Linked DNA regions of Sus scrofa. The protein of the gene in region 1 interacts with the protein of each later gene in a biochemical or structural test. Links are inferred from orthologs where the notes say so. Each region holds a gene or a part of one and is shown on either strand. Other genes may lie near its edges.

What was found. The genes of interacting proteins can lie anywhere in the genome.
Region 2: the proteins of UBE2K (region 1) and RLIM form a complex in vitro, tested with the Homo sapiens proteins (2 studies listed by BioGRID). The link is inferred for Sus scrofa from reciprocal best matches to the Homo sapiens genes UBE2K and RLIM.

Annotation. Positions count from the first base shown.
Region 1 is NC_010450.4:30,885,902-30,892,134, reverse strand, and holds the start of UBE2K (ubiquitin-conjugating enzyme E2 K), read right to left. Parts: upstream 4,142-6,233; coding exon 4,079-4,141; intron 1-4,078. UniProt on the Homo sapiens protein: Accepts ubiquitin from the E1 complex and catalyzes its covalent attachment to other proteins. In vitro, in the presence or in the absence of BRCA1-BARD1 E3 ubiquitin-protein ligase complex, catalyzes the synthesis of 'Lys-48'-linked polyubiquitin chains.
Region 2 is NC_010461.5:59,916,136-59,922,352, forward strand, and holds the start of RLIM (E3 ubiquitin-protein ligase RLIM), read right to left. Parts: upstream 4,330-6,217; 5' UTR 3,978-4,329; intron 2,180-3,977; exon of another isoform or gene 2,116-2,179; intron 1-2,115. UniProt on the Homo sapiens protein: E3 ubiquitin-protein ligase.

The DNA of each region.
Region 1 (6,233 bases):
AGAGATACTGCTAAACATCCTACAATGCACAGGAGAACCACCCACAACAAAGAATTCATTATATGCCCCAAATGTCAATAGTGCCAAGGTTGGAAAAACCATGGTCTACAGAAACCAAGAGACTTTCTTCTGAAGATCTGCAACTAGTTCTATACAGAATAATCTAGATCAAATATATAAAACGTAAAATAACAATACAAAAATCCATTAAAATGCTTAAGAAAAACTTATACAATAGTAGTTTTCAAAAAATCAATTTGTTAATGCCGTTGATTTAAATACTCCTTGAGGATCCTAGAAATGTAGCAAAGCGAAGCTACAATATGAAAAAAACCTGCAGGTACCATACACAAGAACAAGCAAAAAAGTATGTACACTGATTTAAGGGTGTTTTACTTCACTGAGCCTTTTTTTTTTTTTGGTCTTTTTAGAGCTGCACCCACGGCATATGGAGGTTCCCAGGCTAGGGGTCGAACTGGAATTGGAACTGTAGTCACTGGCCTATGTCACGGCCATGGCAACACAAGATCTGAGCCATGTCTGTGACCTATACCAGAGCTCACAGCAATGCTGGATCCTTAACCCACTGAGAGAAGCCAGGGACTGAAGATGTATCCTTACGGATACTAGTCAGTCAGATTCGCTTCCGCTGAGCCACGAAGGGAACGCCTATTTCACTGAGCTTTGAATTTAAAAATATTTGGGGGTTTGTTTTAATGGCCGCACCCGTGGCATAGGAAGTTCCCAAGCCAGGAACTGAATTGGAGCTGCAACTGCAACCTATGCCACAGCTGCAGCAATGCTAGATCCTTTAACCCACTGTGCCACAACAGGAACTCTTAAAAGTATTTTGCATATTGAAATGCAAGCAAAATTTTAATTACACGTAACATTTATTTTAATGCTTAAACTAACAAGTTAGGTTGTGTTTAAATCCTTTAATCAGTAATACAAATCAGGCTCCAGTTTTTTCGGTCGTTTTAGTCCCATACCTGAAGCATATGGAAGTTCCCAGGCTAGGGGTCAAATGAGAGCTACAGTTACCGGCCTACATCACAGCCACAGCAACACCAGATCAGAGCCTGGGATCCTACACCACAGCTGATGGCAATGCCAGATCCTTAACCCACTGAGCGAGGCCAAGGATCGAACCTGCATCTTCAGGGATGCTCGTCAGATTCGGTTCTGATGAGCCACAAAAGGAACTCCAGGATCTTTTTTTTTTTTTTTTTTGGCCACACCTGTGGCATGCAGAAGTTCCTGGGCCAGGGACTGAACCCATGCCACAGCAGCAATCCAGCCACTGCAGTGACAATGCTGGATCCTTAACCTGCTGAGCCACAGAGGAACTCCTAAGAGGGATCTTCTGATGCCAGTTGCCCGGGACACCCAAGTCCCCCACCCAGAAGCAATCAACACTACCAATTTCTCATTAATCCTTTCACCTATACAAACAAATACACGTATCTCCCCAGAAATGGTGGCCTCCTCCCACTATTCTGCACTGTGCTTTTCACACTGATCTGGGAGGCTATATTTTAACAACACACTCCAAGAATGGCCACTTACAACTTCTTAGAGCCAGAATTCAGCAAATGTCAGTTATCTTTTCACAAAGGCACTTAAAAAGGCGCGGGGTTGGAGAGGAGTCCTTAAACCATTCCTAGTAAGCACAACCATATGAAATAAACTTTAGTAAAATGAAGATTTACATAGGTGACATGAGGAAATACTTGACTATCTGACAAGCCATTCAAATATTGCCTTTACATACATTAAAAAAGAAATACATGGACTGTATTATAAGTTCTTCAATGAGTTGAAAATAATATAATCCAATTATAGAACTGGGCTTATTAAAATATCAATGAAATAAAATATTGGTGAAAATAAAACTATTTATTGGTTATATTCCAAAATTAAATTACCTGACCCTTTTCTAAATGTTCTTTGCAACTTACTTTCTGGAAGATGTTTCCTTTCAGATTTATAAAGGCACTCTTGTTAAAAAAATAAAATGTTTGTATTTTCTACTTTCTTCCTCTGAAACACTTACTTGACAGCAAGATTTCATCATCCCTTACATGTAATTTTAACAATATGCATTACTAAAGCAATACAAGATTTCTTTTAAGCTTCAATTTAAGTACTAAGAATATTGTGAAAAGTCACCTCACAATATGCAATCAGATCATATGAATTACGAGAACAGTACTTACCACTTTTAAGTAACAGAAAATAAAGCGTTAAAATCTTATATTTCAGGCTTGTACAACCATATTAGAGAAATGTTTTAGGCTACTAGCAATATTACCCGCAATCTTCTATTAGGAATATATATGTCAACTATCCTGGAATATATTTTCTTATTAAACAAGAATTTAGAATCATTGTTTCATTGTATTGTCAGTACAAGCATTTATGACTCTATTTCTACAATGTACCACAAAAATACAAAGTCATCCTTCCATTCAGAGTTTTGGCACCTGAACAAATACAGAGGTCAGAGTTCATACACATGCTCGGTAAAACCAATTATTACTCACATAACTATTACATTCAATAAATCTGCTGGTGTTTGGCATTTTTTAGTAATTTTAAAGAATTTTCTGCAAGTCTAATTGGAAAGACTCGGTGGCACAAATATAGTTCAAGTGCTATCAGACTTATATCCAGAATTCATCACATACTTAGAATGCTAAATTTCACAAATCACTGAGCTCGTCAAAGTATTGATATAAGAGAAAAACACATATAGTAATGATACTTTCAATAATGGTGTGTGATATTTTGAAAATAACCATTCAATATGCTCAATCTTTCTTTGTTGAATCCAACAAGGAAAAACAACCTAGCATTCTCGTTGATTTGGGTATGAAAAATTACACTGATTCATAATTGAGTCAAATTACTAAATTACTAAAACATTTAAAACATATTAATAAATGTGGCCAACACTAGAGTGTTCTACAGGACTCAAGAGGAGCTTGAGACAAAAAAACTTTTTAATCCTTTCAGATAGATGTTGGGATAAGGAGATATAACAATGTATTTATTAATCTGCTGAAATGTCATGTTTAATAAGGAGATATAACAATGTATTAATCTGCTGAAACCTCATGTTTTTTTTAATAGCACTGTTTTTCAATAGTAAGAATCAAGTTAACTATGAGGGACATCATAATGAAGTTTCATGGCACAACACAGCAGTGTCACAGAGGCAATGTCTTAAAACAGACTCTGATCTGTAACTTGTAAACATTTTAAAATAAGCTACTCATACACTCCATTATATGTCCTAATCCCAGCTATAAATATTTAAATGTCTTTAACACACCAAACAACCTGCCTTTACCTAGTCAAAAAGCTTTAGGTGCCTACAAAAAAGAGGCCTAGGATTTGGGGGTAAGTGGAAATGAGATAATTCTCTAACATGGAATTAATTTCCTATCTCAAGTGGCAATGCCCTTATCCCCCACTTAAACAATATAGACAGTACCCCATTATGTCTTGCTCTCTCTTCCAACACCCAACTAAAAGGGAGTAACTCTGAACGGCCTTCTTTCATCAATACCTAGGAACTCTCATCGCTCCTTCCCTAAGGAAAGGACAGCGGCGGCCAGATCGGCTACAACCCAGAATACCCTTAAAAGTGAGGGCCTTTGAGCAGCGCAGCTCTCGGGATCCAGTTACCACCTTTCCCCTTCCCCCAACCTACTTCCCGGGTTTTCTCAGGCTCGGCCTGCTCACTCCCCACCCTACAACCACACTTCCAGCTGTTGCCACTATCTAGGGGCTCTTTCAAGAGCTCACACCCCGCGTCTAAGCGCCCCCTTCTCCATCTGCCCCCCCCAATCTGATTCCTCTCCAGATCACCCGCCCGCGAGACCGTCCATCCCAGGGCCCTGGAAGGGGAGGGGAAGGCGGCGGAAGGAGGGGGAGACTGCTGCTTCCCCACAGGCAGAAGGGCGGCCGCAAAGAGGGCCACTCGGGCGTTACTAGGGATATTGGGGACGCCAGTGGAAGGACCCTCCCGCCATGGGCTGAGGTGGGGGACGTTCGGGAGTTCATTTCTGACCTCCTCGCTCTTCAGCACCTCCTTGAACTCCCGCTTGATTCGCTGCACCGCGATGTTGGCCATGTCTCCGCCCGCAGCTGATTCGTACCCGCCTCCTCCGCCACCGCTACGACCACCGCCACCGCCGCCACCTCTTCCTCCACCGCCTCCTCCCTCGGCGATTCACACCAGAGCACACGAACGCTGCCACTGCCACTCCGGCCGCCGCGCTCTCCTCAGTGTGGAATCACCTCCGCGCCCGGCCACCAAAATGGCGCCAGGTCCGCGCCTGCGCACGACGCTGACCTGACCGGGCGGCGCAGCCGCTCCCGTTGTAGCCCCATACGCCTCAGCTGCGAACCCGCGCCGCGCCGCCCCGCGCCGCGCGTCTCTGCCCGAGCTGCGGCCGCGTGGCTCCGCCCTGCCGGCGTCTGAGGCCTGGAGGGTGCGGCTTCCGCGCTGGTCAGCGCTGCCCCGGCCTCCTCGGTCCTCTCAGGCGTCTCTGCCCCTCTTCGAACCAGGTGTATGGTCCAGGCTTCCAGACCGTGGCCTGTAACCGAAGGTTCGAGTCCAGCCTGACGGGTTCACGCGGCTCCACTCGGTTTGGAGCGCCGCCCTGACTCAGCCAGACCCAGAACCCACAGGCTTAGTGTGCCTGCCTGTGTTTAGTGTCTGAAAACACTGTCCTGGAATTCAGTCTGGCCTATTTTTTCTTGGTGTAGGCCCGGCAAATGCACTGAGGTTCATTTTTGTTATGAAGCTCTTACGGTGCTGCTATTACTACGATCATTCCAGGATCTTAACAGGTACAACAAATTATAAAGTTAAGTATGGGTCTCATCAATTTTATTTGAGACCAGTACTCCATGGAATTTAGAAGCCAGGTGTTGATCTTTGACCTGCTTAGGTAATTAATACCAAGCCCTGGAACTAAAACCATAGTTTTGGAACTCGAATGTACATTAGGATCCCTGAATAACTTGTTAAAAAATAAAAAGAAAACGGATTGCTGGGCCCCATTCCTAGAGTATAGGGTGGGCCTAATAATTTGCATTTGTAACAAGTTCCCAGATGCAGCTGCTCCTGCCGCTGCTTCTGGAGCCACACAGTGGGAACCACTGAACATGTGAAAATAGTTTATATATTAAAGTGAAAAATGGAGTAGTAGATGTTTCTTGGGCGAGAAGGGCAGCTTTACTTACTTAAACCTAGGATCTACAACTGTGCCTGGTGCCTATTAAGGCCCTTAATAAATATTGAATGAATAAATGAGTAACGATAAGACTAAAATGTTTTAAATGGAAAGTAAATTTGAAAGCGGTTGCTAAAGTTTCCAATAAGTAATATGGTTGTGGATTTGGGGGGGTTTTGAGTGTTTTTTTCTTTTGGCCGAGCCTGCGGCATTTGTAAGTTCCTGGACCAGAGATCGAACCCTCGACATAACTGTGACCCAAGCCGCTGCAGTGACAAGGCCAGACCCTTAACCCACTGCAGCACAAAGGAACTCCTAGGTAATATGGTTTTGATGCTGAGAGGTGCTTTGAATAGAAAACATTTTGTAATAAGTAATTATGTTTATTTAGAAGTTATATTAAAGTCACTTCTTTCACTATGTTTCTAATAGGATACTTTAACCAATCAGTAAAGTATCCTATTAGAAGAATATCACGAAATCACCGTCTCAGCAAAAATTACTGAAATTGTGGCACTGAAAAAGAAAGTAAGCACTTGGAGTGAACCACTCACGGAGGCACTTGGCAAAAATGAACTTATTGAACTACTGCCACGGGAACCAAGAAGGGATTTTTAATTCCAGCTCTCCTCCATTTCAGCTCTCTTGGCCAACCTTGGTTTCCTATTTTGCAGAATAAGGAAGCTGGATAAGATGATCTCTCTCAAGTTTTAAGAGTTCATTATTCTAAAACATCTGGGAAAATTTCCCTGAAGGGACTAACATAAGCTGTAAAACCCTTCCAGCAGAGCCCCCTAGTGGTTCTAAGAGGAACCAACTATACATGTGGGTCGTGGCACAATGAATTACTGGTATAATGAATGCATAAATCGTGCAATGCTATGTGTATTTATGCCGGCACATTAAAAATAATTATTTTGAAGTGTGAAAAATTTTTGAATACCTTATGCTTATCACCTTCATTCAGTCCCCAATGTTAATCTT
Region 2 (6,217 bases), on another chromosome or scaffold:
CGTGTCCCAGTTTGGATAAATTATATGGTCACCTTAGATGTAATTTACACTAACGGGAACTTTGGTCAATAAAAAAAGAAAACTAATTAAGAGTTAAATCCTTTCTTCATACAGTCAATGGAAAGCAAGAGGAAAGAGACCATTTTTCATGCCAGAAAAATATAAAAACACTGAACACAAATATCTCCTTTCCCCCACAGAAAGTGTCACATTCATCACATCCAAACATAATAGCAGTTCAACACATAGTTGTAAAATTACTGTAAGAGGCCCACAAATCCACATACACTCCACGCACTGTCTACAGATATATGTCTCACACATATGCAGGTGCTTTACAACTAATGAAATTAGAACCTTGGGTTGAAGCAATAAAATACGAGAACATCTATAGCAAAAATAAGCATATATTTCAGGAGCAAAACCACAAATTCACAAATATATTCCCCAATCCTTCAAAATTACTAAAATTTTAATATCTAAAATGAATTGCTTGATTATCTGGGAAACCTCCATATTCAAGGTTGAGAAAAAATAACAAAGGAAAAAACAGATACAGAAGTATTATTGCTTTCTTACACTGGTTATCAAAATATCAAAGGATAATATAAACCAGACACTTTTTGAAATCAGTGAGCCATAAGATTTTGGAAATGTCTGTGTTACACAGAATTGTTAAGGAATTGAGCTTACAAAGGAAAAACACATCCCAGTCCTAGGTAGTGGTCCAAAATTCTAGCACCTCATTGGTTTGGATTTGACTAATGACTTTTCACTTTGATTTGTTATCCACTCTATGGTAAATCAAGGGAACAAAAGGTTGGTGAATGGTTTGTGGAAGCTATTTCCCAATTGGCTAGAGTCATGGAAAAAGTAATACACACATTATAATTCCATAAATGCGGATGTCCCATTTGATCTACTGTATTATTTAAAGCCTCACTATATGTTCACTAACCTGAAAGAATATATCCAACCAGCATAACATTTCTAGATTATCATTCCATTGTTAAGCTATTTCTTAAAGCCATTTGATTTTAAATTGTTTATCAAATTATATCAAAAGCAGTAATAGCTGAAAAAGGAACCCTGCCAGACGAAAAGAGGGTGTAACTGCTAAGTAGGTCTCACCTGCTTCATAAAGCAAATTTCCTTTAAGTGTTAACAAAAGTTTTTGATGCAACATAACCTACAGGTTTTTTTTAAATCACAACCTTTCATTTTCTTTGCATTTCCAATATCATCAGATAACAATTAAATCTAGAGATATAAGAGTTTAGTGACTTTGGCATATGACAGACCTGAGTTAAAATGGGGGCTCTACCACTTATTAGCTACTTAATTGAGGACAAATTACCTAATCTCTAAGTCTCAGTTACCTCTGTAAAATAGGTAATATTCTCATGAAGCCTCACTGTAAGGATTACCAAATCATGCATGTGAAGCACAGAACCTAGTATATAAGTAGTCAGTACAAATTAGTTATGAGTCTAGGCTAACTACTCATACCAGGTTGCCTGGAAAAATCCAGGTTTGCAACTGTTGTCCAGGCATAATTATTAATAATGTCCCTTTTGCTCTTAAAAACATCCTAGTTAGGGCAATAAATTATGCAGTTACCTTAATGATGATGAAAGGAGTTAATACTAATTAAAGTACTATATATCAATTATGACTTTGGGTATCTCAAAGGAAAAAAATCGAATACCACACAAAATATGAGATTATATTCTTGTAATATAGTCTGATGGTTCATTTAATTATTCAATAAACATTCAAACACTATTTATTTGTACACATCCCATTCCAACACTGATTTAAGGCAGTAAGTTTCTATCTCGTTCTTTCTCTTCTATACAGGTATTGGTAAACCTCACACATTATTTTAAAAGATGAAAATTCAGATAGAGCACTAGTGAGTTTCAGCTACTCAGGAACACTACTCTTTGAATACCCAGTGAAAAACACTCATTCTGATTATGAAGAATGCCCAACACCAACTAACATGTATCAAATAAGCCCATCCAATTACAGGGCCTGCAAAACAGAATAAATTATTTTTAAACATGCATTCTACACATAAATTATCAGGAGACGCAACAAAAAATAAATTACCTGACTGTTATGACATAGTATTGTAATACAATAAACTGGATTTTAGTTTTCTTCACTCTCTGCTCTAGAAAAAAAAAGAATCCATTATTCTTCCTCTTTGATAAGATAGACATTTTCTTTGAAACAGACACATCCTAAAAAATACATATTCTATATATTTTTAGATACACACACATACATACATACACATACCATAACCCAACCTAATTCAACATCAATATTAGGATATTTGGGGAGACTGAGGTCAGAGGGATATGTTAGATATAAGACTTCCTTTAAAGGTTGAGAGCCAATCTACATTTGATATAAACTTGATTAAAATAGGCTTTTCCTTATCATAACAGTAATTATTTTCGGATACTCATGGTTACTTTCAAGAACTTATTTGGCACACTACACTAGCCTAAGGTAGAAACTAAAGTATGAAAGATTATCCGGACATCTTAGGCTAAAGAATGAAGCATTTTTTTCAGTAAAAGAGTATACTAAATGAAATTTTAAAAAAATTTTAGATTAGTCTTCCTGGGCACTTTATTTTTACAACTTAGAAAACTGATTTTTGGAGAGCGTTAACTGTGCCTGCCTGCTCTCAAGTCATCCAGGACGGACATAATGTACCTGATGGGGTGATATGAGTGTTCTTTAATCACAAAGAATCAAAGAAATGATTTGTAGTAGTACGTTTATTTCTTCCTCCCTTCAATCATCCAAAGCCACTGCGGTTAATTCTGATTCAGGAAATGCGGGCTCCTTATATCCAGCAAAAAATTACTATGGGGCCTTGCAAATAATGGATCACAATGTGATATAAATGCTTCCTCTTGCCCCAAAACGAAAGAATGACCTAAATAAGAAGCCTGCTAGGCCTCAGATTCTCGGACTAACCTGTGGAATAAGTATGGTGAAACTGTCTAGGGAAGGAACGTGGCTGTCTCCTCCATCTTGAAATTAATCAGCATAAGGGAAAAAGGGACTGAGCATTCAGGAAGCAGAAGCCCAACCGGTTAATACTAGTTACTAAAGCTATGGCGTACGTGGCAGGTACCGCCCGCAGAAGCCGAGACCCTTAGGCCTCTTTTTTTTGGGGGGGGGAGGGGTTGAGTTGTTGGCGGATCGAAAGGAAATTAACTTCAAAATCATTTGGCCCAATTCCCACACTCACTCAGGGAAAAACAACAAACACGCAACGGCTTTTCCCTCCCTTTTGGGGGGAATGCTTGCAGTGATATCTGGCAAAGGATACGCCAGGGTTATTTGAGCAAAGGAGTAAACCACATTTGCTTCAGATCCTCAGGGAAGATGGCATCACGGCCCCAGGGGGCGTCTAATTGATAGTGCCCTACAGAAGGGCTCAAAATGGGGTTTTGCAAATCCTGAGAAATCTAAAGGCCCAAGAGCTCTCACATCTAACTTAGAGCAGGCTGATTTTTTGCCCCCATTTCCTAAATCCAAGCCCGCCATGTAAAAGGGAGGGGGGGAAAGAGGCGAGGTAAGTCTCCAGAGGACCGAAGAGAGAAAAACCTGAGACGATCAAAGATTTTCACGCCTAAGGCCAACACTCGAAAATCGCCTCCCCCAAATTCTTAAGGTTCTGAAGGGCTCAGGCTGAGGCTCGCGAGGCCACGGAGAGGAAGTACTACCCATCTCCTTCCCCTTCTTCAAAGAGCCGGTTGACTATACACCCAACTAAAATGGCAGCGGCGACTACGCCACGGAGCCCCCCACTGCAACCGGCGCCTGGGGTCCGCAGGCGGCGCTGACCCTCCGCCACGATGCGCCACTCAGACCATTTTGAGAGAACGCGGCAGTCACAGCTCCGCTGTCTTCTCGCTCTCCATCCATTTCTCGGAGGACTCACTTACTCGATTTTAGTGTCGTGATCCGACTCGGTCGGTTCGGCCGCCGCCGCCGCCGCCGCCGCCGCCGCCGCCGCCCCGCCGCCCCGCCGCCGCCGCCGCCGGGGCTCCTGGGCGCCTCCCCTGCCGCCGCTCTCAAGCCCGCCTCCGATGAGTCGCTGGTTGAGACCCGCCTCTAACCCAGCGCCTGCTCGCAGACGTTGCTCAGGCAGCCATTATCTTCCCCATTGTTACCAAGCAGCGACAGGAAACGCCCGCCCACAACAGGAAGTGATGATGCCGCGTCTAGCCCCGCAGCCCCACTCCCAGCCTGTTAGCCAATCCCCGGCGATTCCTCGAAAAGGCTCGGTGGGAGGAGGAGAGGGACCGCTGACGACGCGGCAAGGCGGGCCACCGCCTGGAAAAGGAAAGCTGCTGTGACGCCCACCATGTGACAAGCCACACCCTCCTCCGCCATTTTGAATTGTGGCGAGAAATTCACGTTCTGAGAATTGTGGGAACCTTTGCTTTCCCATTTTGAAAGCTGGAGGACGTCACCATCTGATTGCTGGAAGCCCTTTTCCGAGAGTGAGAAATGTGGTGTTAGTCTAACCTGACGTCGATTCACAGAATTAGTCCGGGCCTGTTAATACAGCGTCCTACTTTTATTCGACATATATTTATCGAGCGTAAACTGTGTCAAGCACTGTTAGAGATGTTGGGATACAGCGGAAATTAAAGCAGGCCAAAATCCCAGTTTTCGTGGGTCTACTTGGGGAAGGGACAATAGTTACTATATATGTATATGTTACATATGTATAAATGCTAAGGAGAAAAAGCGAGGGACAGTGGTGGGAGAGTGTCACGACAAACAGGAATTTGCGGTTTTAAAAAGAGTGGTCAGAGGTGGCCTCGGATGGTAATTCTGAAATACTTGAAAGGGGGCGGTAATTGTAAAAGGGTGGGAAAATCTGATAACGTTGGAATTTAAGGGCGGTTAAGGAAAGACTTTTCTTGGATACTAATGCCTGAATTGGAATCTAGGGAATAAACTATCCCGCTTCCAACTCCCGCTTTCACAGTTAAAAACAACCGTACCCAGGTCTTTAGGGTGTTTCCATGTTTCTTGTCCCATTTTTCTGTTTTCTTTGTTTTCAGGTAACACTCCAGCTACACTGGCTTTCTCACTACTCTTCCAGCAAACTAAACTTGTTCCGACCTCTACAACTTTATATAGGCTGGAATTTTTCCCTTAATATCTTTGCTCTCATCATCCGAGCCTTTTCTCAATTGTCATTTCCCTAGGGGACACTTCCTTAACCACCCCACCTGAAATTACAACTTCCCTTACCTGCTAAATTTTCTTTAAAGCATTTTGAAATAAATATTTGAAAATATTTGTTTACCTCAACCATTTAAGAACAGTAAACCCCTTTGTTTTGTTCACTGTTTATATCCCCAGTGAGCTCATAGTAGCCCTCAAATATTTTTTGAGACCGTACAGGCCTCAGCATGATGGCCATTTCATCAGCCAGGAATATAAGTGTATTTCACTCCAAGCAGTTAACAACAATATCCCTCATACTTCCCTGCTCAACTTTTCAACAGTCTTGATATTGTCATTTTTAACAGTAGAGGAATATAATTTAGGTGCTGTGTCTCTACTCAGCTTTTGTCTTATGTTCTATAATCATACAATAGAACTTTTACCTAGAATGTGTAAAATGAATTCTTCAGTGGCCAGCAATTGCTCCTAACCTGATACTCAGATTATGGCAGTAGCATTAACCTCTCCTTGACATATTCTTAAGGCAAATGTGTCTTAATGTAAAATATAAAATCATAAAAGAAGTAGAAGAAAATGGAGTTCCCTGGTGACTCAGCAGGTTGAGGAACAAGCGTTGTCATTGTTGTGGTTAGGATTCAATCCCTGGACCAGGGACTTGTGCATGCTGTGTGTGCAGCAAAAAAAAAAAAAAAAAAGTAGAAGAAAACGTAAGTGAATATGTCCATAGTTCTTTGGGGACGTGGAAGGACTTTCTTAGGCATGACACAAAATCCATAAGAGGAATTTCTGTCAAATAGAACTTCATAAAAAAAGTAAAGCTTCTGAATGTCAAAACACAAGGTTAATAAAATTAAAAGGCAAATAATAAACTGAAAAAAAATTTCAGCATGACATATGACAGCTAAGGGGTAGTTCTGGTTTATAATAACATTAAAATAAATGACAAATTGGTGAAAATGCTACATATATGATAACATGA